Caenorhabditis elegans: one gene and its partners. The protein of the gene in region 3 purifies or fractionates together with the protein of the main gene of each other region. This does not show direct contact. Each region holds a gene or a part of one and is shown on either strand. Other genes may lie near its edges. The genes, in order: ZC443.2, acs-11, C18B2.4 and tbca-1.

Region 1 (7,026 bases), on a different chromosome or scaffold from region 3:
TCGACACAATGATGGTTTGTGTCAGTGAGAGAAATGTTAAACACGACAGTCTTTTATTTTTGTATTCGATTATTTTGGATTATTAAAAATGCATTTATCAAAAGTCCGTTTAGAAACGAAATTTTTTTTAAAAATAAACCTTTTGAGAGTTTTACCTTGTGTCGGTAAGTAGGTACGCGTTTAAAACGTACAAGGTTTTTTTTTTAAATTTTGGCAAGTTTGAAACGTTTGCATGTTACACAAACTTACATATGATTTTTTTTAATGATTTTTGTATTTTAAGTTTTTCCCATAGTTTGAACCATCATACATCGAATCCACGCAAGTGCATTCGCACGTTAAAAAAAAATCGTATAATCAAACTAGAGTATCATAACTCTTTATACCGAAACGAACAAATTTGATATGTTATGAGAACATCCAAATTGAGAGCCATTTAAAAATTTCAGGAAATGGGACCATACGATGCTGCTCCAAAATGTTTGGCAGAGCGATTGAATCAATTGTAGTATCCATTCAATTGCACCGTGCAAAAGTTGTCCCGATGAAAAAAGTAGTTTGTATAAGACATACGAGCAGCATTCAAAATTATGGTAGCAGCACAATTCCTGTTTCCAATTAGTGCCTTATTTCCAAGGATAAAATATTTTGAACAGATCGAAAATTGTTTATTTTGGTTCAAAACAAAAGTAGAATTTGTATTTATATTTCTTTTGGACATTTGTTATCTCTGTGTCGCGAATGGATCTTCAGGATGATCAGCAACGCTGAAAAATAGTGTTCAGTATCATTTTTGTTGCTTAAAAAAAAATACTTTGGCCACCAGAAAAGTCTTTCCTGTTTTGTTCTCTCGTGCGCTTCTAGGAGATTTACTTCAGCATTTGAAATGTTGAAATCAAAAATGTTGATGTTTTCTTTCATTCTTTCAGGATTCGTAGTTTTTGGAATAACTATAATTCCCATTTCAACTGTAGCCCGGAGAAGAATCTGAAAATAATCCGGCACAAAATTGTAAACAGATTATTTGAAAATTTACCTGAGCTGGAGTTTTACTGTATTTCTGTGCGAGCGCCTTCACATGTTTGTCGTTCATTTCATTTTCAGAATTTTGAGTGCTTTCAAACAAAGGTCTACCATTTGAACCAACGACAGACATTCTTCCAGGAGAGCCTAACGTCGCATAGGCTGTTATGAGGATGTTGTGTTTTTTGCATAGCTCTCTGTGAGCTTTTTGAGGCAAATAGAGATGAAGCTCAAGCTGAAAAATTTGATGCAAATATATGAAGATTGTCAAAAAAATTTCATCAGAGTTATGTTGTTTTTGATATTTTTTAACTCATAGAAATTATAAAAAAACAGAAAGCAGGTCACCTGAGAAGCGTGAATAGGAACTTTTTGGATATTCATAATTCGGACAATCTGACTTTCATTGAAGTTTGAAACACCAATTGCTTTTGTCAATCCCAAACCATACACTTTCTCGAACCCTCTCCAAATATCTTCAACTTTTACATCAGAACGAAACGATCCATCGTCTTTGGTTGATGCGGGAATATGTGCAAGATACAAATCAACATAATCCAAACGAAGTCTTTTCAGTGAGTTTCTCAATGCTTCTTCTACAACATCAGGCGCAACTTCATGACAGAACGCTTTAGTTGTTATAAAAATATCTTCACGTTTTAAAATCCCTTCGGCAAACAATTCAGCTAAAGCGTCTCCAATTTGATGCTCATTTTGATAAAGAGTAGCTGTGTCGATGTGACGATATCCGGCAAGAACTGCATTTCGGATAACTGTTTTTCCTTCTTCTCCCGTCATCTATTAAGTAGAGAAAATGATGATTTTTAAAGAGTGACGCCAATTGTTTTTTAAGTTTCGAAAAATATCAAAATTTTGTAAACAACTGAACCAATACAACAAATTCTTGAGAAATTATAGAGTGGACTCTTTTCTTTGGCTCATACAGATTTTTGAGCGAAAAAATTATTTTCTAGTTTGCTTCTCTGCTTCTAAATATTTCCGATAAAACATTTTTTGTCTGAATTATTGAAATTTGTTGGGTACAGCTATCCGAAACTTTAATAAAATTCCTAAAAATTATATCAATGTACAAAAACTGGCAATTTCAAGTAACATTACAACCAAGTGTTGAATAAATCCTTGCTAATGGTAGTTAATTTATTCTAAACTTCAAACTAATTTTAAATGTTACCTGCCAGGTACCAAGACCAATACTTGGCATGAGAACTCCATTAGACAGAGTGAAGATTGGAACTTTTGATGACATTTCGAAGGAAAATAAAGTTTGTATAGTTGGGGGTACTTCATATTTATACACAAACCGCAATCCTAATTATCGAATTAAAACTGGAAGAAAGACCTTGAATTTGTGGTCTGTGTGTGTGTTTCTCTTAATATATAAAGAAAATAGTTTGCGCTGTTCCAATTTGTACTTCGTTTTATTGAAATTAACAACATGGACGAGGGGAATGATGAGGAAAAGATTATGTCAAATGGGTAGAAGTAGACGAATAATGACGACTTGGAAGAACACAAAATACATTTTTAAGTACCAGAAGTTTAGGTGACTTGTTCCATTTCCTTTCCATTTTTATTTCTAATTTCTCGGTCTTTTTCCATCTTCTCCAGTCGTGAATTGGTGTATTTGTAATATCCTTCCTTCCCTAAATACCACATCAAGCGATATTCATGCTTTTGATTCATTCTCTCTGCTTTCTTTTTTCTTTCCTCAAAAGTTCGTTCCAGTTTCTCAAGTCGTTTCTTCTTGTACATTCGGTATTTTTCAATAATATGGTCGTTGTGGTCGGCAAAGATGTGAATCTAAAAATTCGATTTTTTTTTCAATTGTAGAGAATTTGGTGTATGTTGTTTCCTAACAGGATTAAAAAGTTAATTTGATGTTTTTGTGAGTTCATTGTACATTTTAACAAAATAAACCTACATTTGATATATGCCAACCAAACTTTCAAAATTTTCAGACTGGAATTTAATTTCAAATTTAAGACAATAATGCCAAACGTGTTCAAGATTTTGACATCTTTATTTAAAACAATTCTAGAAACTCACCGCCCATTCTCCAGCTAAGCCGTCTCTTTTGAATTGAGCATTTTTTAGAAGATAGTCATCTAATGAGTTTTCCAATGCAAATGCCGATGAATAATGAAATCGGAAAGGTTTAATACATCCAATTGGGTGAAGAGAACGGAAGAAATGCTGAAGTTTTGAATAGTTACTATCATTCATTGCAGCATATCCAGGGAAATACTCATTGAATTCTTCAATCGCAGCGACATACTCAATTGACATCAATTTGTGCTCCGATTTTGGGAATGTATCTCTCCATAGTTTGATTACTTTTTCGAACATTTTGAAGATAAGCAGGTTAGTTAGGAAGTGTCCCTGGAAATATTATTATTGTTATTATTATGAAAGAGATGGATAAATGTAGTAAGTATGCAAAAAGTAAATGAAAAGCCAATCGTATGCAAAAGAATAAATGGACAAAAGCTGTAGAGAAGCAGACAAAATGAAAGAGAACGAGAAATAGGATGAGGAACACTACACACATACAAACAAGGAGGCAACGAGTGGACCACCTCAAGCATCTTGTGAGTTATAATTTGCACACACCCCCCGTACACTTCCCCGCTTGTTTTTGATTTGATTTTGTAAAGGATGCAGAAAAAGAATTGAACAAAACAACACGTCATGATGCTCTGCTAGAGTGCTTGGAGCAAATGATAAGAGAAATATTAGAAGCTTTTATTGAAATCAGGTGGTCAGTGGGTGAAGCGCATGGTTTTCCCACAACAATGTGACCTCGATTATGAATTACAAGACTTTATGAAAAATTCGTACTTTATGAAAAATCGTTTGGTAAAATCTTTACGACTTACTTCCGTACTGGATCATCCTAGTGGGTACCTTCATAATACGTACAGTAAGCCTTCCACAAGGACGCAACTTGCGAAAATATTTTAAAATTAAACTCAACAATACTATTTTTAGTTGAACTTAGTTAAAGCTAGAATATGCGAGATTTTAACAAAGTGTTTATCCTGAAATTTAGTGCTGGTCTTGCTCTATTATTTGTACCTTCTATTGGAAACTTGACACCGTGAACTCATGATTTTCTATATCAATTTTCACATTTTTCCACCTCTTCAAAACTTTCCCTCTTTCAAGCTTGAAGTCCCTCTTCGGTTTTCTACAATGCTAACGAGCTTCAGTATCACGCATTACCCATGCGCAAGAAAATGAGAACAGACAAGAAATTTCAATCAAGCCTATTATTATTTTTCTCACTTTTTTTTCCTGTCTACTCACTTTCTCTTGAAGGAAAAGCTTAAAGCAGTGGCACCCACTGCCATCACTACTACAAACCGGTCATTGTCAACAAATAACACAACAACGCATTTTTGTTTTGTTGACGCCATGATGCGCAAGCAGGCATCTAGAATTATTATGCAGTGGTGGGATGGTAATTGTGAAAAATCCGGATGTTTTTACATTTTATACAAAAATTCATATAAGGAGTTGAGGAAAAATGAATACTTGAAACATGAATACATATGAAACAATTAGAGAAGTTACATTTCTATGTACAAATAAGAATGTTAAAAACATTTAGTTACAGTTTGTTCAATTTAATAACTAAAGAAAAACAAACGGTTCTTTGGCATTATTGAACAATTTTGAAAATGAAAAAATTCGGAAGAATGTTAATGAGAAATTTGAAGCAAGAAACACGTTACAGAGTGCACAAGTACCCGTTGGCAGAAAAGCAAGATACTTGGCACCTATAGCATTTCATATTCTAGAGCATCAACGTCCTTGTCCTCGATTTTCTCCAACTCTTCAATGTCACTTCCATCGTCTGAATCCTGATCACATTTGTCGAATTCTTCATGACTATCGGAATCACTCGCATCGTCCACAATTTTCGATTGTGACGCAGCCTAAAAATAGTTTTGTTGAAACTTTACGAGTGAACAATTTGCTTCCCAACAATTAATTAGAAATAACGAGAGAACCATTTTATTTATTATTATTTTGCACAAATCAAACTTTAAGCTAGAACTTACTTTTGTGTTCTTCTTGTCATCCAAGTTCAGTTGCTCCATAACATCTTCTAAAAGAGATGCTGCAATTGTAACTTCATTCGTCTTTTCGGGAACATCTGATTTAAGGTTTTCAGATTTTTCAGTTTTATCCTTTTTCACAGTTACAGATTTAGCAACTTTGAATTTTGCTTCGTGTTTCTTTGTCACAGACATCATCGACTTTTCTGTACTACTTTTCGATTGATGCTTTTTTTGAATAAGATTAGCTTTTGCAGCAGATATGGCAAGTGAATCATCTTCTTTAACCGGCAATGAAATAATGACATTTTCAACTTGCACAGGCGCGGCTACAACAGTTTCTGGTTTGGTCAGTTCACAAACAACCGACACGTTTTTCTTTTCCAGCTCTTCAATCTTTTGGAGTGTTCGGTTTAATCTGATTTTGTTCAGAACAAGCTCACATTCCTCCAATTCTTTATTTTTCTCTTCAACTGGAATTTCATCGCTAGCCATCGATTCAACCACATCCTTTATATCTAATTTATCTTCTTCTAGACTGATTGTGGGAACGTCAAATGAAGTTCGGTTAGTATAAATGCAAGAGTCATCATTCCCAGAGTCTGGCAGTTGAGTGTGTCGTCTCACCTGAAAGTTTTGAGTTAAAAGTTAGTAGACACTGCCACATGTTCCACATTTTCACTTGCACTTACGTCCAGAGCCTTGAATCGCTGGTTTCTTCTCTTTAGTTCTTTTGCAGCTGACCTTGTTTTGTACCGACGGTACTTGCTCATAAATGTCGTATTGTGACCGGAAAGGATTTGAATCTGAAAAGGAAATATTTGTTTATTGCAAAGAACGAACCAAATATATTATTCCATTAGCTTCTTTTTTCTTATAACTCGTTTTGTCCCGTATATTTACCCCGATATGTCACTCACCGCCATATCCCCAGTGACATCCGGCTGTTTGCGAGTGGCAATCATCCGGTCAAAATGTCTCTCGAGTTTGAGAACATGGAAGAATGTATTCTTATCGGGAATCATTGAAAATCGATTGATATCCGCAGTAATGCTCATCATACAAAGGTCATTGTGTTTGCTCGGAGTGTACACTTTAATGTAGTTATAGAATTCATCAACTCTTTCCGGAGAGCCCACGTAGGCTTTTGTATATGCATTGTGAACAGTCTCACGGAAGGCCACAATTGGTTTCTTGACAGTTTTCTTAAGGGAACGAAGGTTTTCAACAACGCCCGATAATCCCATGTCTGAAAGTATTAATGAACGCCGGTTTTGCAAACTTCGAAAAGATAAAAAATGAATTAGGAATGGTGAATAATCTACAGAAGTATAATCTCTGATGACTCAAAAACTAGATTTTCTGGATGAAGAATATATAAAAATGATATGAAAAACTGATATCCCAGTAGCTATTAAAAATGAAAATACAGTCCAAGTTTCTTTCGCGGAACATGTGACCAATTTGGATGAAGCGGCAATTTATCAATAGGATTTTTGAAGCAAAGAAAAAACGAAAGCATATGACTTTGGTTGACTGGGCTATACAACAAATGTAACGACGATGACGACAGGCGAGAAGAGGGTGAAAAGTATTGGGAAAACGGGAATGGAACAAGCGATGGAGAATCTAGATGTATCTAGACAAGAGAGGCGTGGCATTGTCAGAGAAGAGGACCCTACAGCTTCGTGTGCAGTGGAAATATAGAGCCACGAGTTTTGTCTTGCGGCGTCGAATCGACCGCCGAAAAGCGACGAGGGATCTGGGACGATTGTCAGCTGGGGAGAAGGCGAGAGAAGCCCTTGGATAGCAGAAACTGAGAGGGAAATACAGGAAGAAAGTGCAGAGATAGGTGAGCCGCAGACATAGAAGGGTCACTCGTTCGGTCAGCTGACCAGAAGAAGGGAGGGTCCAGGCAATG
Region 2 (9,252 bases), on a different chromosome or scaffold from region 3:
GGAATATCGAGGAAGGTCATTGATGTAAAGAGACCACCTATATAAAAAGAGATAAAAAGTTATCATTTGAGGAGGCAGTTTATGAGCGAACGACACATTAACATGTAGCAAAAATACGTGTCTGCCTACCTGCCTACAAGATCCATACGCCTACCGCGTGCCTAGCGACCTACGCCTGCATACAAGGTGTGCCAACGCGGTTAAATTCCAATGAAAACTGATGCATTTACGAAAGATTGTCTATCTACTAAAATCAGTTAAATCTCGGGCTTCCAAGTAGGCGCCAAAACGCCTGCCTTGCGCCTTCACACGAGGTAGGGATGTTTGCAGACTGCACTTTTTTTGCCTCAATTAATTAAGCAAGGTTAGAATCTGGAATTTCATTGGTTAGTCTTATAACGGGAAAACAACAAAAAGAAGAATAAAACTATAGTTTATTGCTTCTTTATTAACAAAATCAAAAAGCAATAATTTTTCATTATTTTTTGCCAACTTCTAGATTAAACATTTCTACACGATCTCCATAATCGAGCCAGACATCGTAGAACCATTGACAGCGAATCAAAGATGATCTGATTGAGAATGAATGCGTGTGGCAGCGGAGATTTGTATGCGCGGATGGGCGGCGCGGGAAAAGGGGCGTGACACACACTTGACTACTGTATCGGAATGTGGCACGTGAATGAATCACGTGAATCCACTTTATGCACTTTGACACCTTACGGCTTCTACAGAAGCTTTATTGTTGCAGAAGGGGAATTGATAAGGTAAGAAAATTTAAGAAAAATGAGTGAAAGCAAAGCTTCAAACTGCAAAAGTTTAAACTATAATTTATCAACTTTATAAAATGCGTACTTAAGGACCCAAAAATTTATTATGTAATTATATTACCGGGTCTCGCCACGACAAATTGTTTTATTGCGAAGAGGTTTGCGCCTATAAAGAGTACTGTAATTTTGCTTTTTGGAAGACTAATCAATTTTTGATAGATTCCCGATAAGAATATATTTATTTTTACATTTTTTGTCGTGTCGAGACCGGGAACCGTATTTTTGCCCAAATGTCGGGAAAGTAGAATACATTTGTGCACCCACTTCGGAATGTTAAGATAAAGTAGCAAGAACAAAAATAAATTTCAAATAAGCGAAGGACTTTTTTCGCTGCAAGACCCATTCAAAAATATGAACAAAAAGAAAAAATAGTTATCAGCTATCAGAAAAAAAAAACTAAAACGAAGAAAACAATGGCTAGTGTCGTCGTCCAGGTCCGACCACTCCGTCCATCGTCCTCCCATTTATAAAACTTTCAGGTCTCCATGATGTCTCTCCATTTTATGTACACTCTCTACAATTGAAAATACTTCTGAAATGATCACTTTGAAGGCGAAGTCACATTTTTCTGATTTTTGAAAGTTGAAAGTCGCCTTTTTCTTTTTCAATAGCTCTCTTATCAAATTCGAAGAAATTCCTACGCGTGGGTGGTGGCGACTAACCACTGTTCGGGGGAAATAACAAGTGTTATAGATCTTTCTTTGTATTTCTTTTTTGGACCGAGAGATGTTTGACGAATTGTATATGATTCATTCACGCTCCCGTTTGGATATTTTACAGCGGAATTTTTGATCCCAGCAGGTTCAAACTAGGTGCATGGGGAACTACTTCGAGGAACTTATGGATGGTTTTTTTAAACAATTCCAGATTTGTAAGTTTATTTTCAGGACAATTTTTGCCAGCCTCCAAGGCGAACGACGCCTGCCCGGGGCCTACCTAGTAGGCATGTGAACAGGTAGACACGCCTGAAGACGTACTTGCCCGCAGTGGGAGCCTTAAAAGTAAATTTATAATTTATAGAAAAATTTGCAAAATGGTACATTTCCTTACTTTTCTTTAGGTTTAGGCTTATGTTGGACGTGTAAAAATCATGAAATACGCTATTGTATATTCGTAGGACCTAGACATATCTACTTAAATGCGCACGGATTCGTTCAGGTGGGCCTCGGAATAAATCCGTGCGCCTTTAACAGGATATCTCAGAATTCTGCAAAATTAAGATACCCGCTGCTGCCACGATGAAAACATTTCGAATTGGGTCTTCTCGAAAGCGCCTTTAAGTTGTACAGTAACCTACCTCTCGTAATTTTGTGACTTCCTTGGGTATTGATTTATTTTGCATGTATTTGCAAAAAAAGCGGAATAATGGCTAAGTGGTTACTGTACTTTTTAAAGGCTCACACCGCAGTTTCAATTCAAAAAAATTCGTGGTGAGACCATAAGGAAGCTGACAAGCATTTCGAAGTACAGTATTTAGCACATCACACATCGAGTTTCGGCAAAGAGTTTCGCAAAAACCATGGGCAAATCTGTGTCATAAATCACTATACTCTTTCGTTTTTTATCTTCCTTTTTGTCTTTTCACTTCTCTTTATAGCCAAAGTTCTCACGGGCTTCACGTGATTCCAACATGTCCAAAACGGGTACACACTGACCGCGTAAGATGTTGCCAAGATATATAATATCATTGATGTTAATCTGATAATCAAATGTCTCTCATCTTAAGAATAGTCTGACTGATTACGGGGTCAGGAGGACAACGTCGTCCTAAAAGTGTGTGGAGAACAATAGAAACAAAAAATATCTATAAACAACTGTTATTTTCTACTGTTAAAAGTTGAAAAATTGTACAAAAGATTCTACAATACTTATGAAATATTTACAATTTGAAAATAGAAAAATGATATCTATATTTTGGGGATGTATTGTTGACTGGGAATGGAATTAGGCGAAGAGGTTCTTGTAGGTGTCACGGAGAACGTTTTTCTGGACCTTAGTGATGTGATTTCGTGGCAAATCATCCAGTACAATCACTCGCTTTGGAACCTGAAATGTTAGACATTGAGCTTTGATAATTTGATTTTAATATTTGTATCCTATTTGCAGAATAGGTATGTTATCAAACATTTATAAAAATCACATGTTTTTTTTATAGAAGTTGATTGAAAACAGGTTGTTATAACTTGAAAAATTACAAATATCTGAACGAGAATTGCGGTGTCCGATGGAAATTTGAAAACTCAAAAAAAAAGTTTTAAGGGGATTATTATGAGATTTTTGACGCAAAAGTACGGTACCCGGTCTCGACATGACACATTTTTGTTAAATGCAAAAAGTTGTGCGCCTTTAAAGAGTACTGTAACGTAAAACTTTAGTTTCTGCGGGATTTTTCATAATTTTATTTTAGTGCTTCTAATTAATAAATTACTTACTGAATAAGTAAGTAATCATCGTTAACGAAAATTTGAGATTACAGTAATCTTGGCGCACACAGAAAAAAAATGAAAAAGAAAATTGAAAACAGCAAGACGAATTCAATTTTTTTAAAGTTTTTCTGCATTTATTGATTAGTTTCACAACAAAAAAATAAAAATGGCAGAAAATATTAGCCAAACGCGAAATTTTTTTTGTCAAATACAAAAAGGTGTGCGCCTTTGAAGAGTACTGTAGCTTAAAATTTTTGTTTCTGCGAAATTTTCACCCATTTTCTATAATTTTTTGAATAAAAATATGCGTTCATTATAGAACTGAAAAAAACGCACAGATTTTGACATAATATGAAAAAAAATCGATGAAAAATTCGATGCAACGAAATTTCAAGATTACAGTACTCTAAAGGCGCACACTCTTTTTCATTTAAATTTGTCGTGTCCGGGTACCGTATTTTTAGCGCAAAAATCTTGAAATTTCGGATTATTTTTTAAATAAAAAAACTTGCCTTATAATTGGCAACCTTCTTCTTCATAATTCCAATAAGCTTCTTCTCAAACTCCTTCTCATCAGTCACCTTCTCCGACGGGACTACAATTGCAACAACTGCTTCTCCAAAATCTGGATGTGGAGATGCAATAACTGCAGATTCTTTAACAAATGGAAGTGTATCAATGAAATCTTCAAGTTCTTTTGGATATACATTTAATCCTCCAGTAATAACCATATCCTTTGATCTTCCACCAATCGTCAAATAACCATCCTCATCAAGATGTCCAACATCTCCAGTTTTAAACCATCCATCTTCAGTGAATTCTTCAGCTGTCTTCTTTGGATTCTTCCAATATCCAGCGAAAATCGCATTTGTCTTCACTTCAATTCCTCCATTTTTTGCAATTCTACATCCAACTCCTTGTACAGCCGGGCCAACAGTTCCAGCTTTTCTCTCTCCATTCAATGGATTAGTAGTCATAACTCCAGCTTCTGTCATACCATATCTTTCAAGAATCACTTGTCCAGTTCTTTCCCTGAATTCTTCAATTGTAGATACTGATAGAGGTGCAGATCCAGAAATGAATACTCGAACATTTCCGAATGCTTCTTTATTGAAATTCTTTGATGCCAAAAGTCTTGAAAAGAATGTTGGTACTCCCATCATAACCGTCGCATTTTTCATGTATTTTATACAATCTTCAACTTCAAATTTCGACCGCCAAATCATTGTTGAATGTGAGAATAAAGAGCAATGAAGGGAATAATAGAGTCCATGTACATGATAGAATGGAAGTGCATGTAGATTATAATCATTTCCAGTAAATCCCCAGTCTCGGACAATATCATGTGCGTTGTTAGACAATGATCCATGAGTTAAGATTGCTCCTTTTGGTAGTCCGGTGGTTCCTGAAGTGTAGCAAACTGATGCGGGATCCGATTTTTCGACATGTTCGATCATGGTGCATGCCTGGAAAATGTTGCATTTGAATATTGGGCATGGATAGTATGTATATTGTGTTTTCTTTTGACTTAATTTTGACATGTCAGTTTAAAGGCACACGATATTTTCCGGGTGGGTCTCGGCACGATCACGGCGTTTTTTGGTTTGATCGGTATTTCGATACCGAAAAATCCAAAAAAAAGTAGTCACTTTTGTACTCCAAACACTTTTCCTATTTTCCTAATATTCTTGTCAAAATTTTGGTTTTTAATTTTTTTTTCTAAAAACGTTCAGAATAGATACTGCACGGTGGCTGAGATCGTGACGAGACCCAAGCAGAAGAAGATCGTGTCCCTTTAAACTGGAGGCTCAAGTTTTCACGAATTTGTAAAGTAAAATTAATATTTTTTTCTATATTTCTTGATTAGCATCACAAGGAATTTGTGGTTTTTTCAATTTTGAATTTTTTTTTGAAAATTATTAAATTTTTCATATTTTCCAGCTTACATTCAAGCTTCCTGCTTCAGATGCCAACTTATCCTCGTTGATAACCCTGATCTTATCTCTGAAAACTTTATCCAATTCTTCATTGCACGAGACTAGAATCGAAGGTGTCGCATCCTTGATATAGTGAGCAGCTTCAGATTCAGTATATCCTGGATTGACTGGAATATAGAGTGCTCCGATTTGAAGACAAGCAATGTAGAGAGCAGCTGTATCGGTCGTTTTTGATACTCTAGCCATCACACGGTCTCCTTTCTGAGAAAATTTGAATTTGAAAAGTTGAATTTATACAATTTTAAAGATAAAATGACCTTTATATTGTACTTTTCAGTCAGAGCAGTTGCATATTGCCCAGTTCGTTTAACAAATTCTCCATAAGTCGTTTTGCGATCGCCATCGATAAAGAGGAGCTGGAAAATTATAAAATTATGGAAAAAACGTTCAGAAGGATATTGAATAGCAACCTTCGAAGGATCGGATTGAAGCTGAGCTTGACTGACAATATTGTTGGCTGCAGAAGAAGCGGCACGGAGCCCAATTTGTGGATGGACGGAGCTGACTAGACGACTGAGCATTTCTGAAATATCTAATTTTCTGTAATAGAAACAATGCTTTAAAATGAAAAATTCAAGAAAATTAGGCAACTTCTATTTAAAATTCAACTTTGGAAGTTTTTTTTCAAAGTTTTCGCATTCTAATTGCACAAAATATGCACAATACCGTAAATTTTCAATTTTTTATTTCAAAATGATGTTCAAAAATGCTTGATTTGGTTTTTAACCTTATTTCATCAATTTCTGCATTTTTTTTCTTTTAAAAATAATTTTTTCTACGAGTAAGAACTTTTTCAGTTTTTATCGGACTTTTCAGGTAGATTCTAAGTTTAAAACAAGGTTTTTGTTTCAAATCTGCAGTGCTTGAAAACAGGAAGCTGTAGAAAACTGAATTAAAATCGTGAATTGATCGGGTTGACCGTTTCTTATAACGAGATGTTGTTGGCCCTGCGTCTCGTATTCTCGATTTGTCATTCTTAAAAATGGCAACAAAGATAAGAGGTTGAAGGGAGAAGAAACCTTCGTCGAAATGAGTTCTTTGGTGGTGAAAACGTGATTTGTTTGATCTGAAGAACAAGCATAGAACATCATTTTTTTTGATCGAAATGAGTCATGTAATGGATATCGAGTCAGAACACAAGAAAAGGAAAAAAGGGAATCTAATAAATAATTATAATCACATTTTTCACCTAGGAACAGAAGAAAATGAAAGCGTATTATACAACAAAGGCTGAGGGATATTTTAGAAATGAGATAAAATTTAAAATTTTTAATAATAAATAAATTAAAATTGAATAATATTACACAGAAAATGTGCATTTTGGCCGAAATCGTAGTTGAACCGAACGTGATATGAGAGGAGAAGGGACAACACAGGAGAAAATATTTTCAACAAAAAAGAAAATAGAACCCATTTTTGGTGAGATTTTTGGGAAGATCCTGAACTTTTCAGACGGGGTACTTGGATTCTGGAGCAAGGCGATCGAGGACCTAAAACTTGAAATAATTGATAAAAATCCTGATTCGTTAGAACTGACCTGTCGGATTCCAGGAAGATATGTGATTGTTGAGATTCCGGGGATACTTCTGAGCAAATTGACAATTCCAGGCAGGAAACCACTGTAAATTCATTATTATTAGATTAAATTTAATTTCGTGAGCGATTAGTTCAAAATGTTTGTTACAAATCGAAGAAAAAGAGCAGAAAATTCAAGATATTGATTCTATTGCAAATATTTAGAAAACTCAACATTTTTTAGTCAAAAACTCACCCGAAAAGGACAATAAATCCCCAACACTCGGCAATCATTCCGAACAATGGGTACCCAAATAGAACTACCAAAATCCCTGAAAATAAATTTTTAAATTAAAATAATGAATTCCTTGTGATCGAACCTCCGAAGAAGAGAATGCTTCCTTTCAGTTTTCGGAATTCGAAGAAGAAAACAAGTGTTCGCTGCACGCCGATAATAAATGTGATTCCAACAATGAATAGAAGCTGAAAATAATAATTTTATGCTTTAAATTTACAATAAATACTTACATTTCCGATAGCTAAAAGAGCAGAATCAAGGAACATCAGCACTCCGAGAAATATGAAAAAGAAGCCGAACGTCGTTAACCCCACTCCGATTTCTGAAATGTTTCACAGTTTACATATATTTTCTGATTTTCAAACTTACGTTTTGTTGTGCTTACTTCGAAATTCATCATTTTGACTGGACCCAAGTGGTTTCTCTTTTAAACGGCTGAAAAAAATTAAATTCTCAAAAGAATCGGTCATAGAAAAACAAATAGAAGAAGATTATTGATTTTTTGAAATAAATTTGCGTTTCTTTTTAGCAAATGAAACTGATTTTATCTCGAATTGAAAAATTTAAGCGAAAAATCGGAAAATAAAACTGGAAATTCCGCGGAAATGACGTGTACGTAAAATTGCGGACCACGTGGCCGCCGTGCATTTCCGCGTGGCCTAGAAACTCGCACATGGCCGAAGTAGCGAAAATCGGCGGGAAAAAGGAAAATTTAAATTTGAATGGTAAACTTTTGAATTCGTAGTATTTTCGCTCAATTAATACGATTTTTATTGAGAAATTGGACAAAAAGTAACTATGTTGGTTGGAAGTGCCACAAAAGGCATTTTTGAGATTTCAAATCGATATTTTTTCGAACAAACAAGACTTTCCAATTATTTATTGACTATTTCCAAAGGTACAACGTATTAATAAGTAGAACATCAGTTTTATTAATCGAAATTACTTGAAATTTTAATCCAAACGTCATATGAGTAAACCGATTACAGTTATTTGGAAGCTTTCTGAAAAATATTTCAGTGTATTCGAAAATCACAAAATTTAAAAATCAAATTTCATTATTCAAAACTTGGAAAATTGACCAATAGATTGAAAAATAAATAAGAAGATAAAAATATTATTTGTTCTCCAAATTTAAAGTGGATGATTATTCAGGAACTGTTGAACGGCGTAGTACATTTGTGGAGCTCTCCATTGTGGAGCCATATGTCCAGCTCCGCGAATAGTGATGAAACTGAGCCCATCGAAAAGTGTCTTGAATCCGGCGATTTGTCTATCATACTTCCATGGAGTCTTTTTAAGTGTTCTACGAAGTCCAAGTTGATCAGAGAATTGCTGTCCCATCATAAAGTTGCAGGCCATATCAGTATCTCCATAGTACAAAAGAACTCTGACGTGGTTCTTGACGATCTTCTTGATGAATGGAGTCATATCGGTGTACTGCTTCTGGTAGGTAGTAGTCACCTTGTCACTGAAAATTTTTGTTTTGATCTCTGGGCTTGGGCTCTTTGGCTCAGGCTCACCTGCAGATATCCCATTTTCCAAGATTGAATGGAATGTGGATTGCCTTACGAACCTTTGGATTGTTCATATAGGAGAGCATCTCAGTATCGTTGAGGCATGGAACATCAGCCTTAAGTGGCTTTTGGGATTGAGATTTGTTCTGAAAGATACAAATATGAAGTGACTGCTATGGTGGTAATTATTGATCAAATTAAAAAAGTTTTAAATATGCAATTTGACCAAAAAAAATTCTATAACCTTTTTCCTATTTTAATTTTTTTTACTTGGATGGCAAAAAAATTGTTTGAATATAATCCTTGCAGGGTTTCGTTCACAAAACAATTTTCAAAGTTTTCAAAAAAAAAAACTGCTGATAATGATCTCATGACCGTGACACCTACCGTGACACTAGGTGAAAACTGAGTACTGAAAAATTTTCTGAAAAGTTTTCCAATGATATTTTTACATTTTCCCATTGCTGCTACCCCACATACTTTCAAAAATTGATAAAGGGAAGTCTTTGTTTGATTTTTCAAGAGCTCATCAAAATGGGCCATTGCTGGAGCAACTCCTCTCAACATGTGCTTCATTCTCTTGCTGTTCACTGATGGATTTGGATCACAATCTCTGTACAAATCATATGGATTCAATCCTCCGAACCACAAGAATTGGAAGATGTCCTC
Region 3 (7,577 bases):
TTTATGTTTCGAGCGCCTCTTCTTCTCCTCCATCCTACACGATCAATTTTTTTAGCTGCCGTCGTTTTCCTTCAACTCGATGAGAGTGTAAAAATGCCAAACGTTTGGCCAGTTTCTTTTCACAATCTTTCTTTTCCTAGCTACTTGCCACACAACTCATCCGCTATTTCATTTTTGCAGACGATCGAAATGGAATTGCTCACATCTCCATCATTCCACCATATCTCGCCACTTACACGGTCTAGAAGCGATGTTCGTTCAGCTGCAATGAGAAGGTAAATGAACCAACGATCACAAATTAAAATTGGTTACCGATAAGCTATCTAAAAGTCAAAAGTTGCTGCTTTCTAGTATAGTGTAGTGTTGATAGAGGTCTTGTTTTTAAACTTCGATATTAAAATGTTCACTTAAAAATCATATGAATATTTTTGTACTCTAGTAATAGTGAAAACGTCAATTAAGAGGGAGAACATTTTCTATAGATCAGAATCGAAAAAAAAAACAGAAAAAAACCTAAGATTAGCCAAGACCAAGCTTTTATATTTTTGAAAGTAATACGATGGAAAAGAAATTGTTAATAAAAAAATCATAGATGCAACTAGAAAACAAGTTGATTCAAAACACTAATACCAATTTGGTCATCTTATAGTAAAAACCTTCACCATCAAAAGTTCCAGATCCAACTCTTTCTCCGGAGTCACCCGATCGACCTCCAGCAACCGGTTCTCTCGTCCCGAATATGGATACGGTGGTGGCTATATGGCCCGTTCAATCAACAAATGCGGTAGGCAACCTTCTTATGTGATTGAAAGCGCGTGCTTCATCGTGCTTGTTATTTTCATCGGAGTCATTGGCTTCTTCTTTTGTGTTCTAGCCGTTTGACACTCATCTCCTCCTATCCCAATAACGTACATGTCCTTCATTCAACTTTTTGTCACATCCAGGGTTCTGGATAATCTATGCACTTTTTGTCGGGTTGTTGTTGCCATCGCGAGTAAAGTTTTTTCTTGATGTCTTGTTTTCACACAATCTGGTGATTATCAATGCCAAAAATGCGACACAATATGTATGAAAACTTTCATAAAGAGAAAAAAAAATGAATTGCAATTCATTTTTATCATCTCTTTTCTCACTCTATCTGAGCCAGCTGCTCATTGCTCGATTTACACCCACGCGAGTTTCAAGAGAGAGAGAGAGACACACTTTCTTAGAAAGCGATATCAAGAACTACGTTCTAATAAAAAAAAACAACTTGTTGAATTTCAGGTGGATCTATCTTTGGAAGATCTCTCGCTGCATCGGCGCTCACCACAACTCCACCATTCCACAGCGTTGGAGTTCAGCGTAGTACCCCACATTACACCGACAAGTACGTTTACAGCACATAATGAATATGAAGCTATATTTTCAGATACCCATATGTTCGATACAGCTATGGAAACACTGACACCGGACTCGGCATTTTGACTCAATCGGAATCGGTAAGTTTTATAAGTAGTTCCAATTTTTACAGAATCAGTATCAAATCTCACTATTATTTCAAAAACTCATCTTCAGGTCTACGGCCACCACTCTGGAATTCGTGATATTGGAACTAAGCGTTGGCTGGAGGGAAAGCTCAATGCCTATAACACCTCTCTTTTCACCCGTCCCGACTACCAAAAACGTGTTGAGAGACCACTAGCATCAGCAAGAAGCTACGTCCGATATATGCCAGTTGATGACGCCTTGGATATGTACAAGAAGAGATGTATGACAGTTGGAACGTTGTCGAAGGTAACGCAATTTTTTAGACTACTGTTGTATTTTCTCCATTAGTCTTGCATTTTCGAGTTTATTAAATATCTTAGCAGTTTCTTGTAGGCACCGCATAAATTAAGAAATCCATAGAGTCATTGAATTTTGAAGAAAAATATAATTCGGTTTTTTATCCTCAGTCAGTTGAAAATGTATTTTGCAGTTTCTAGAAAATTAAAAATAAAGCTTGATGGCAATATTCATTCAATAGGAGTATTGAAAAACATGCTTTAAGTGAATTACAAATTAATATTTCTTTTTCATTAATTTGATTAGTTTTGGCGATACATATTTGTCTTTTGTATTATTCAAAAATTGATTACTGGCTGAACTAAAAATATGTATTATCCAGTTTTCTAGAGTTTTGTATATACTCATTTATTTCTTACTCACACTTGAGCCTAGATATAATCTTTTAAAACTCAATTTAAAAAAAAACCAAAATTCGGGTTTATTAAAAGCCTCACAACTGGATACTCACTCTGCACAAGTATTATTTTTTAATAAAATGAAGTGCAATCTATTTTAGTACTGGCTTTCACCAGCTACTTGGGCTTCCCGTCGCGAGAAGGAGCTCAACCTCTCGTCATCTCTCAGCCGTGGAAACTACTCTTACTCTAGCCGATTTGACAGGTACTGAGGTTTTAGTTTTTGGTAAATTAATTATTCTTAATTCAGACTTGGAGGACGCGTTTATTAAATTTTCTAAAACCTTCTGATCCATTTCATCGACTTCAACATTTTTCCATCGCGATTCAACATTCACGATATGTTCTTTCTACACGACTTCTTGACGCCGTTTTCGCATTTTGTTTGGTGTTTAACAAAGTGCGATGAGCAGCTCGGTTCAGTTATTCTTTTTTTTCTTGTTTTATACTTTAATTGATATTCCAATAAAATCAAAATAATTACATTCATTCAGTAAATTAAACATCACCGTTGTATATAAACATGCGGGGAGACGGACAAAGCGAGGACGGGAATCATTGGATTGAAGAGTCGAAAAGCCACGAACTTTTGAAAAATACAAGCTCATAAGCTTTAAGCGGATAAATTAAAACTTTACAACGGTCCATTTTTGGATGGAAGTGGTGGAGCTTCTTGGTAAGCATTGTAGGCTGGTGGCTGAGCGCTAGATTGTTGTTGAATATTGTTATAATCTGGAAGAGTAGAAGGATGAGGAGCAGCTCCTTGTCCGACGTTGAATCCTCCCTGCGGTGGTTGATTAGTTGGATAAGGATGGTATTGTCCTGGCTGTTGAGGTTGTCCAGGGTACGCCCCAACATTCTGGTACTGGACGGTTCCGACTGGCTGGAATTGTCCGGCAGGATACGGCGTGGTTTGTCCGATTCCTGGGTATGGTGGAGGCATGTCGTAAACGTAGACGTTTTGTGCTGGAAAACAATTTGTTTCGAAGAAATTACTACGTCATAAATCTTACCAGGTGGGCGCTCAGGAAAAACGTTCGTCGGAGCTTGGAATCCTTGGTATGTCCCTTGCACCAAGTAGTATGTCGGTGGAGCAGCATAGTACGTAGTGCCTGATTGCTGTTGCATATTTCCACCATATGCTGGTGGAGCAGCAAATGGACGAGCTCTAGATGCTGAAACAGAACCAAAACATTGATGGGAACTATTCAAGACAATCGTACCCATGTCAGCAGCGCGAAGAAGTGCCTCTCCAAACTCGATGCATCCTCCTTTCGGGAAAGACAAACGCCATTCCGGACATCCATCAAAGTTGCCTCCAGGCATTGGTTGAACCCATCCCTGAAAAATTAAAAATGTGACTGCAAGTCATTTAAGATTGAAAAAAAAACCTTGAGATAGTTTGGGGTGAGAAGTGGCTGTTCAAGTTTCACATCTCGCACTGAATTGAATGGCATCGCGAAGGATTTGAACTCATCTTTCTTGCTCTCGTTCATGAAAATTATCTGAAAAAATAAAGTTGAAATATTTGAAATTTAGGATCAAACGTTTTGGTTTTCAGCTAAAATGAAAAAAAAAACCTATCCAGAAATGAAAATTTGCAACTCAAAAACTTTAAAACTCACTCTGTGTGAAGTGAGATAGAGGGCTCCCGACTTGGTGGACTTGAACGCAGGAACATTGTACTTCTCGAACTTCAGCTTTACATTTGTTGTGTAGAGAAGAATCCTGAAATTATAAAAACTTATTTCATAATTTGAAAAGAATCAGTTTTGAGAAAGAATTTAAAAAACTTACATTTCTCCATTATAAATCAAAATGCCTTGGCCATCGGGTGTGTGCGACGTGTTGAGCGACATGGTGCTGCTGAAGAACAAAAAAAAATCAAAAATACTGCTTTTTAAGGAGGAAAATGGAATTAATGAGCAGATCGGGAATTGCGAAATACACGAAATCGACGAAAAACGGCATGGAATGGCGTGATGGCAACGTTTTCATACGGCGAGGGTAGCCAACACTGACTCACGACCCCGAGACCCGCAATGGAGCGCGTTTTCCATTGCCTTGTTTTCTGCGTCTCTCACAAGTCATGGCTCTCTAGTGAGTGGTGAGTGGCGAAAGACAAATAGTGTTTGCCATTAGATAGAGAGGGGAGTATCGATGCCATTAATCATGAATATGAAGGTTTATTATTATAAGGGCAGAATTGCCGGGAAATAAAGGTAATTAGGCAACGAGCTACTTTTGGAAAATTTTGAGTCGATTTTGGTCGTGTATTTAAACATTTCTGGAAAAAAAACAAGTAGTTGTATTAATTTGTTGAACAATTTGTGGTGAAAGTTAAAATAAATAAATAAGAGAACATTTATTATGTTAATTTGAAAGACTCTTAAAAATTTGGTGAATTCATTTGAAACTTTTCTGGTTTTTAAAGTAGATGTACTCCAAAGTATTCAAATGTTTCTTTTTTGTTTCTGTATAGTTCAACACATTATTATCCGGCCTAAGCTCCAAAAAGTTCGAATGTTATGTTCACAATTTTAATTCACTTTAAAATGAGTATCATCATTTGCTTTGAATTTTAAGGAACTTTTGAAAGTGATAGTATCTATCAATCTAGGCTTTCTCTGTACACTTTGAAAATTAAAATTTCCTGAAATTCGTTTTATACACTAGGTAATCATATTTGTAAAACTTGACACTTGTAATAGCGTTCCTCTTAACTGATATGTCGAAATTTCTAGAATTTCCTATAATATTATTTGTATTTTTGATTTAAATATCAATGAACAATATTATTCTGCCAAAAATTATATTAGTTCCTTAGCGAAAAGAAATGAAGCTGAAAAACAAAAAAAACGATTGATAGGGAATGTTTATCGAGTCGCGTTGGATAAAAATGTTAAGTCGAACAATAAATACAAAATGAGTGGATCGGAGATTAAATTGAAACCATTGAATCAGAAAACACAAATAATAATACTAATAATAATAAATTGTTTTTTAATACAACACTTTATCAGCAAACACTGGAGCTTGTTCGACTTTTTGTCCCTTGTTGTGTCGGAGGATGGCAACTAGTGGGTGGACAGTTTCTTGCAAATCCTGAAGTGAAAGATTTAATAAGGTAGTTTCAGAAGCATAGATAATAAGCTGACCTATCAAAACCGCAAAAATTAATATCATCTCTCACATTCGAACATTATTAATACAATTTTGAAAAGTGAGTTAATATGAGTTAAAAACTTGATATGAAAAAAGCTTAGAACTAAACCGAAAACAAAAATATATAAATATGTTTAAAAAAATTATTTAAATGTTCATAAGCACATTTGAAAAATTTTATGTCATAATTACTATAAAAACCGGAATAGTTTTCATGGAAAGTTTTCTATTTTGAATATTTGAAAGCCTTCCCATACATATGAAATAAATTAAAATTATGCTGAAGTTGGAGTTCAAAATATGTTAAAGTTTCATCAGATACAGTTTTTTCTGCATACGTTTTTCAATATAAGTTTGAATTGAATTTGATCCCGGACGGGTTGAAAAATAATCTTGAGACGCCTCAATTTATACTTATGTTCTTTGCTTTCATGTGATGATTTTTGAAAGATGATTTTTGAAAGCCAAAATTACTTTTCAAATAAAGTGTACTATTTTCAGTTATTTTCAACTAAACCGAGTTAAATACGCAGACTGAGACACCTAGTATTTTCAGTTTTAAATTTCACTTCCCCAACCCATAATATTTACTCTGAAAAGATTCTCCAACGAAGCTGTTCCGTGTGTCCAGTAGAGATTATGTTGAAGTTTGGAAATTCCTGTTGGGAGTGGTGCGAATCCCGAGTTGTTAACTTTGTAGTATTCAAGGAAAGAAATGTTGGCCTGTGTGAGACTTTTGATGGCAATTGGCTGTGGGAGAACTTCAGAGTTGGTGATAATCGGCAGAACGTTTGTTTTCAAATCGTCTCCGAACATTCTCTTAACATCAGCCAACTCATAAATGAACGGCCATCCCAGTTGATTCTCGTCGTGTCTCAAAACAATTGAGATTGCATCAAGACGGAAGGATCCAGATTTGAGAAGCTCCTAAAACGTGAAATTTAGAATTTTTTGCAAAGTTTCAATAGTTCACCTTCTCAAACCACTGCTTGATAAGTCGCGAGACCGTCTTGTTGCCCATTTTGTCCTCAACCCCGGGTGTGTCAACAACAGTGACGTTATAAGGAAGAACAGTGTTGTTGAAAACGTAGGCGGTGAGTCCAGTGGTTGCGTTCACATGCTCGTCCAAAACAAATCTGAAAAAAGAAGAATAATGAACATTATAACATTGAAAATTAAAAAATTAAGTTACCGGAAATCATTCTCCTTCTTAACATCATACAAATAGTTCATCATGCTGGTAATAGCAGAAGTCTTTCCAGAATTAACTGGACCGAACAGGAGCAGAGTCTTGTCATCGTCACTTGGTGGAGCATCTCCTCCAATGATAACCTTGTTGATCTTGTCATTCTTGGAGAAGTTTTCAACAACATAGTATTGTGGAACAACGAGCTCGTATTTTCCGCTGCTTGCAATCTAATAATTTTTAAGAATATTAAAATAATTTTCATATGAAAAATAAATGACTTACATGTTCTCCTGCTGCCTTTTGTTTAGCAGCTAGTGGGCTGACACGAGCTTCCTCCTCTTCGTAGATGCTTGAGTCCACGCTCTCTTAAATATTCGATATACGCAATAGAAAATTTAAATAATATGTTTTACATAGAAGTTCGCACAGAAAACGTTGATTGTACTCAGAAAATTGAACAAACAGAAAATTGAAAACTGCCACACATTTTTGCAGGTGCATGGTTTTTTTTCTTTTAAATAATTTATACACTTTTGTAGAGTGTGTGCAGTACACCTGGCCCGAAAGTTTTAACCATTTTAAAAATGTTCGTGATTTTTTTAAATCTACATTAGGCATGGGATTAGTGTTTCCTGAGCTTAAAAATGCAAATGTAGTTCAAGTTTTGATTATATTATCATTTTTGAAAGAAACGACTGAAAGCGTATTGGATAATAGTTTTGGGTATGGTATACTACACAAGTTCCTCTAGAGCATTGTGATCTTTTCGGAAGTGTTTTGGAAAGCCTCAAACTTTTGTAAAGCTTCTAACATTTTTGAAAGATTTGAAACAATTTTACACTTTCAAAAAAAAAAAAACTATCACGGTTATGTCAGCAAACCGCAACCTCTTCAAAAGCTCTATATCAAATTTTACGAAAACTACAGTAATCCTACCGTACTCCTGCAGTACTCCTACGGTACACTCACTTCGACCTCAGAAAAATGAAGCCTGATTA
Region 4 (6,419 bases), on a different chromosome or scaffold from region 3:
GTTTTTCAAAACCTGAATCTTTGCTGCAATTATAAAATGTATTTCCAGATTTTACTCAAATCCAATAATTTATCGAAAAAACACCAAGCACACTTTCAACAAAAAGAAAAATAATCAATGAAACTGGAAGTGGAATAGTAGGAAACAGGAGGAGGACAGAAAAAAGAACCAAAACAGGGATCCGACAAAATTTTTTGGACTAATAGAGAGACAAAAACGGAGAGAAACAATTGGAAAAGATTAATAATATGTCAAAACCGGTGTAGACAACAAATCGATGATAGCCGCTAGTTCTTGTACGGCTCAACGGTTTGACCTTTGCGAATGGTTCCCCAGCCAATCAGGCGCCAACTCTTCTCGAAACGACGTGACATGGCAATCTTCTCTCCAACCTGAATTTAAATACAAATTAAATTTATTATTTTATAAAAAGTGGGAATTACCTCTGTGCAAATAGGATCGTTTAATCTGATCTTCGCGGCGTCTCCCTTCACAGCAGTAACTCTTCCTCCCGTTGACAACGATCCAATGTTCACCAGCAAAGTCTCTTCCTTGACAAGCTTCTGCACCTTGGCTCCCTTCTTCTTTCCTTCAGTACGAACTCCGAGCAATCTTCTCAGAAGATAGAAGGAGATTTCAATTTCGATGAAGATATCTGGAAGAGTGCCAACGGCTCCGAGGATGTGACCGACGAGTCGATCTCCACGGCAGAGTGTCGGGTCGATCTTCGTTCCAACACCGATGAGACCGCCGGGAACGGCGTATTCCAGCTGGTTCTTTTCGGCAAACAGAGAGTCGATACGGGAGAAGATCGGACGGCATTGGAGTTGACCGGTCGCGGTTTTTGAGACGATTCCCGGGCGAACTTCGATTTCTTGTCCGACGCGCAGAATTCCCTTGGTCAATGTTCCTCCGGCGACTCCTCCCTTCAAGTTTTCAACTTCAGATCCTGGCTTGTTAACATCGAATGATCGGATAATGATGAGACGAGCCGGCGACTTGAAGTCACGGACTGGCACGGGGATTTTCTTGCAAAGATACTCGCAAACGAGCTGAAAAATCGCAATTAATCTAGTATACACGCTCTCCTCAAGCGTTCATAATTATTAGAGCGCGCTCGCGCGGCCCCTCACGAACTCCAGAATTCGCGGGGACAGCAGTTTTAGGCGGCTGTTTTTGGCTTCTATGGAAATTATTTTTAATTTTTTGTTTAATAATATTGTTGAGAAGCACCATCCGAATTGAAAATGTGTAAAATTATGAAATCTGACCGAAAACTGAAGGTTTTACAGAGAGGAGTCACCACGGCTTTCTTTAAAATGTATCAGTACAGTCAGTTTTTCGATTTCAGAGTCGTAGAATATGTTATTTTGTAGAGAAAAGTCTGTTTCACAAAAATCCATGTTTGAAATTTTAAAATTGTTCTTATGAAAAACTGAAAATTTGAAAAAATTAGATTCTAACGTAAAATTGTTGATTTTTTGAATATTTTTATATTAGAAATTAAAAAATTAAAATTTCAAACATGGATTTTCGTGAAACAGACTTACAAAATGACATATTTTACGACTCTGAATTCGAAAAACTGACGGTACTGATACATTTTAAAGAAAGCCGTGGTGACTCCTCTCTGTAAAAACTTCAGTTTTCGGTCAGATTTCATAATTTTACACATTTTCAATTCGGATGGTGCTTCTCAACAATATTATAAATCAAAAAAATTAAAAATAATTTCCATAGAAGCCGAATATAGCCAAAAACTGCTGTCCCCGCGAAACGAATTCCCGCGAATTCTGGAGTTCGTGTGGTGCCGCGCGAGCGCGCTCTAATAATTATGAACACTTGAGGAGAGCGTGGTATATTTAAATCCAGATTCAGATCCTTACATCAACATTATATTTAAGCTGCGCAGAAATCGGGATGACTGGAGCATTCTCGGCGACCGTTCCTTGCACAAATCCGGCGATTTGCTCGTAATTTTCGCGGGCTTGCGACTCCTTGATAATATCGACCTTGTTCTGAAGAATCATCAAATGATTCAGCTGCATAATCTCGACGGCGGCGAGATGTTCAGATGTTTGTGGCTGTGGGCATGGTTCGTTTCCGGCGACGAGCAAGAACGCGGCGTCCATGACAGCGGCTCCGTTCAACATGGTGGCCATAAGAATGTCGTGACCTGGGCAATCGACGAATGAGACGTGGCGAACACAGGTGAATTCTCCACCGCATCCGGCGCGCTCGCATGGGAACCGATCGGGTGTTGATGAACCGGCGGATCTGAATTAGAATTCAAAAATTATTTATTTAAATTAAATTTCAGGGAGATATTATAACCTGTAACATCCTGGCCTTGGGCACTCTTGGTTAGAACATCTGTAGATCTTTGCATTAGCGTATCCAAGTTTGATAGTAATATTTCTTTCCAACTCTCTTTTGAACTTGACAGTATGCACACCGGAGAACGCTTTCACCAGAGTGGATTTTCCATGGGCTACGTGGCCAATAGTTCCGATATTAATCGTGGCTTGTCGAGAGATAACCTGAAAAATAACTCTTTAACTCAAAAATTATTGATTTTCAGTACCTCCTCGGTGAGTGGGTTCAAATTATCGACTCCGACTTTGTCCAAATCTTGTTTCGCAAGCCAGCTCTGGCACTTGTCCTTTTCAGCTTCTAAATTAAGAAAGAATTATGAAATTTTCTTGAAACCGAAAAGCTAACACTTACCAGAAGCCATATTTTTTGTTTTTATGATCCCAGTTGAGTCGATTATTGATCTTTAAAAAATTATCATTATAATTAATCGAAATTACTCAAAATTAATTGAAAATCCATAAAGATTGCATAGAAAACAGGCTAAAATTGGATAAAATTAGAAATGGGTTAAAGGCGCATGGGAGTGGTTGGAAGGGTCTCGATGCGATTTCGTGTGTCGATTTACGAGCTCGAATTTTATGTTTTGCTTTTTAGCGCGAACCAGGCAAAAATCGTTGAATTAACGGACATCTGTATATTTTTCGTATGGAAATATTAGCGAAATTGCTTCTTAAAATTATTTATACGGCATTATAAACCATGTATTCAAGTAAAATGCAATAATTATTCATCATAAATCACCGAAAATCCCAAAATAACAAAAGAGTATCATAAATTAAGCAGAAATGGAGTCCACAAGCGTCTTCGCATTGACGAATTCTGCGGCTTCCTCCGGATAATTCCCAGAAGCAATCGATTCACGGAGGTCGGCCACAGCTTTTTGGAGACGTGATTGAGAATCGCGGACCATGTTGGCAGTTTCCTGAAAATATTTTAATTTCGTATACTCGTAAATCGGATTATTTCAAAAAACCTTAACAATATCCTTCGACTTCTTGGCAACATACTCCTCGTCCTCGTTGGTGGCGTCGGCGGCGAGTTGGGCAGCCTTCTGCTCCTCCTTCACAACTTGCTTCTCGTAATAGGCGACTTCTTTGACGAGACGTTGCACGGTTCCCGTCTTGATTCGGAGCGCTTTCAGCTGATCGGCTTGGGTCGACATGGCGGCGGGAGGTTCTGCAATGTGAATTTTTGAAACAGAGAACGAGATTGTGAGCTTGCTTTTATGGACTAAAAATCGATAGAAAAAGGCGCAATACCACCGAAAATGTTGTGCTCAATGAGCCGAAAAAGGACGGGAAAGCGAGCAGATGGTCAGACACGCTCGGCGATTTCGAAATAAATACAAATTGACCGCTGTCTGTTGGGCGACACAGGTTCCCGCCAAAAAATCGACTGTTCAAATGATTTCGCAATACATACATAGAGAACGAACAAGAAGGATCAATGAAAAATTCTATGAATTTGAAATTAGGTACTGATGGAACGGCAGATGCACCCATGGGGGTACTGCATAAATAATAAAATTTTAAAACAAGACATAAATTTAAAAATTCAGATTTAAAAAAAACAAACAAAAAATAGCAAAATCTAGAAATTTAAAAAAATTCATCAAATATTAAAAATCTATTGCAATCTGGTCAGTTTGCAAATATACATTGGTCCAAAGTTAGAGGGTAGAAACGGCACGACGAGGGCTCCCAGTGGAGTGTCATGGAAACGATAGAGGCCTGATGACGTCATATGGGATACGAGTTGATGTAGGGATTCCTCGACGGTCACGATTCCAAAGTCATTGCGTACGACGGCTACAGCGTTCTCGACGACTGCCTGAAGAAATTTGAATTAGCATTTTTGAGCTGTTATTTCGACAAAAAACCCCGGTCTCGACACGCCAGAAGTACTGTAGCCGCGAAAGTACGCAATCACCGGATCCTACGAAAAAATGCATGCAGAATTTCGGGATTTTTTTTGAGGGAAAATGTTGGGATCGGGCGAGAGTTGAAGCCAGAATCAAATTTTTAAACGGAAATCGTCAAAATTTGAAATTTTGATTTGATTTTCTCAACTGTTTAGTGAAAATTCGAGATTTATAGTGTTAAAAGAAACGATTTCTTCACATTTTAAACTTTTGTGAAACTATCAGAGCAAAATTTGAGCATTTCGGGGTACTGTAGCGGTGAAAATACGCAAACACGGCAGGGAGCGCAAAAAAAAATGCAGAATGCGATTTTTTTTAAACTAAAATTGGAAAATAGCCGAATATTGTTTTGAAAAATTGAGTTTTTCACGTTTTTTGTAAAATTTTCATCGATTTTTCATCAATTTTCGAATTTTTTACAAATCGAGAAAAAACTATATTTGTCATCATTTTTCAAGGAGTTTTTCAAAAATCGATGCAACAAAAAATTTGGAACTACAGTACTCCTTAAAGGCGCATATATTTTCCTATTTAACAAAAAAATTTGTCGTGCCAAGACCAGGTTCGAGCGAAAACCTCGTTTTGGCTTGGTGAGAGTGTGCACGTCGAGTAGACAACCGAGCCACCAACTTTTACAGATCGCAGTGCATTTCTGAAAGGAAAAATAATTTGAGGGAAAGCCGAGGATCCTTACACAAGAATCTTGGTCTGAAGAACCGGAAGATCAAGCCTCTGCTGAGTGGATCCTGTGCTGAAAAGGTTTCCGTCGTCGGTGCTGACTGATAGACGATCCGTCGAGCACGGAACATCGACGAGCACTTTATCGTAGGCCTCGAATTCATCCCAAGTTTTGACGTCGGACGCGTCCTTGCGTTTTAGGACGAATTTGTCGATTGTCTGCAGGAAAATTTTTGGAGTTTTAGCTAATTTTGGAGGGATTTATATTTAAAAAAAAGAATTTTCGACATTTTTTAATCGAAAAAAAAAACTCTAATTTCAAAAAATTGTTTTATTTTCTGATTTTCCTCAAAAGAGCAGAAAAAAGTTGAAATAATTCGTATTTAATTCAATTTTCTCACTGAAAACCCAATTTTTGAGGTGTTTAAATTGGAAAAATTCGAAATTTAAATCTTGAGAAAAATTCACATTTCTGAATGAATTTTCAGGTGTTTTTAACGAAAATCGTCATTTTTTCAAGTAAATTCTAGAAAATCGAGTGAAAATTTCAAATGTTGGTTTTTTTAAAGAAGATTTCAAACTATGGAAAAAAGTTAAGTGAAATTTCGAGAAAATTCTAGTAATTTAAGCAAATATTCGAAAATTTTGGAAATTTTTGAGCCATTTTTTGGTGAATTTTCGGATTTTAAATTTTAAAAAAATTCCGAATTTTAAAGAATTTTTTTGCGAAAAAAATCGGCAATTTCTCCAAATTTGTCAAAAAATCAATTTTTTTTTCAGAAAAATTTGACTTTTTTGTTTTTTTTACAAAAACTGATATTGCACCTCGCTATCCTCTGGCACATATGTCATAAGCGCACGCTTCAGCTGCCCAAGCCTGGCCAATTTGAAATCATTACAAACGATTTTCGAAGGCAAATTCGACAGAGCCGCTAGAAGACTTTTTCCACCGGGAGCCGCACACATATCCAACAGGGAATCGTCTTTTTGAAGGCCCAAAGCCAAAACTGGGAGCAGTGAGCCACCGTCTAGAAGCCAGTAACTCGGAACTCCGACTTCATCTTTCATCGGAGCCGGGAAGTCTAGAAGGACAGCTCTATCGAATGAGCGGACGTGGAGGGCCTGTGGATAATAGAAAAAGTGATCTCTTTTCGGGATTCGAACGCCTTCTCCTTCAAATCCGGTGATTTCTACATTTTTATTTTGATTAGATTGTCCTAATCCCATCTGCAGACTTCCAGACGAGAGCTCTCCAGCGCTCGCCCGGAACTCGCCGAGCCCTGCAGCAGATCGAAAAATCGCTTCATCCGGCTCAGAATCTTCAGTATTGGTCGAAGTTGAGGGATTCTGAAATTATAATTCGATTTTTAAGCAGCAAGATCAGTAGGAAACTTACTGAAATCTCATGCTTAACCTTTTGAGTCTCCCGATTCGCTTTTTCCTC

The links.
Region 1: the proteins of C18B2.4 (region 3) and ZC443.2 fractionate together in Caenorhabditis elegans (co-fractionation; one large-scale study listed by BioGRID). This does not show direct contact.
Region 2: the proteins of C18B2.4 (region 3) and acs-11 fractionate together in Caenorhabditis elegans (co-fractionation; one large-scale study listed by BioGRID). This does not show direct contact.
Region 4: the proteins of C18B2.4 (region 3) and tbca-1 fractionate together in Caenorhabditis elegans (co-fractionation; one large-scale study listed by BioGRID). This does not show direct contact.

The regions. Positions count from the first base shown.
Region 1 is NC_003283.11:12,807,769-12,814,794, forward strand, and holds ZC443.2 (uncharacterized protein), read right to left. Parts: upstream 3,425-7,026; 5' UTR 3,391-3,424; coding exon 3,091-3,390; intron 2,972-3,090; exon of another isoform or gene 2,845-2,971; coding exon 2,584-2,844; 3' UTR 2,444-2,583; downstream 1-2,443. Other genes in the region: ZC443.7 (Serpentine Receptor, class BC (Class B-like)), read left to right, coding at 450-509; ZC443.1 (NADP-dependent oxidoreductase domain-containing protein), read right to left, coding at 725-767, 815-987, 1,037-1,258, 1,372-1,821, 2,216-2,290; ZC443.3 (Glutamic acid-rich protein-like), read right to left, coding at 4,824-4,982, 5,109-5,732, 5,798-5,911, 6,026-6,352.
Region 2 is NC_003280.10:4,738,661-4,747,912, reverse strand, and holds acs-11 (fatty Acid CoA Synthetase family), read right to left. Parts: upstream 5,777-9,252; 5' UTR 5,775-5,776; coding exon 5,664-5,774; intron 5,610-5,663; coding exon 5,511-5,609; intron 5,455-5,510; coding exon 5,203-5,454; intron 4,723-5,202; coding exon 3,769-4,722; intron 2,877-3,768; coding exon 2,775-2,876; 3' UTR 2,633-2,774; downstream 1-2,632. Other genes in the region: eas-1 (putative Golgi transport protein 1), read right to left, coding at 6,702-6,743, 6,791-6,872, 7,025-7,100, 7,149-7,251, 7,297-7,388, 7,436-7,466; Serine carboxypeptidase ctsa-1.1, read right to left, coding at 8,201-8,537, 8,590-8,729, 9,064-9,252.
Region 3 is NC_003284.9:3,601,651-3,609,227, forward strand, and holds C18B2.4 (GRAM domain-containing protein), read right to left. Parts: upstream 4,092-7,577; 5' UTR 4,085-4,091; coding exon 4,023-4,084; intron 3,954-4,022; coding exon 3,851-3,953; intron 3,731-3,850; coding exon 3,617-3,730; intron 3,567-3,616; coding exon 3,449-3,566; intron 3,401-3,448; coding exon 3,239-3,400; intron 3,192-3,238; coding exon 2,860-3,191; 3' UTR 2,641-2,859; downstream 1-2,640. Other genes in the region: C18B2.3 (uncharacterized protein), read left to right, coding at 190-275, 678-784, 1,267-1,369, 1,412-1,481, 1,558-1,776, 2,327-2,430, 2,476-2,497; C18B2.5 (G domain-containing protein), read right to left, coding at 5,229-5,330, 5,982-6,317, 6,364-6,526, 6,583-6,806, 6,862-6,944.
Region 4 is NC_003279.8:2,309,629-2,316,047, reverse strand, and holds tbca-1 (Tubulin-specific chaperone A), read right to left. Parts: upstream 3,553-6,419; 5' UTR 3,539-3,552; coding exon 3,350-3,538; intron 3,299-3,349; coding exon 3,152-3,298; 3' UTR 3,091-3,151; downstream 1-3,090. Other genes in the region: eif-2gamma (protein-synthesizing GTPase), read right to left, coding at 288-392, 444-1,052, 1,887-2,277, 2,335-2,540, 2,585-2,673, 2,728-2,737; 5-cytosine rRNA methyltransferase nsun-4, read right to left, coding at 4,003-4,206, 4,874-4,949, 4,992-5,194, 5,801-6,322, 6,372-6,419.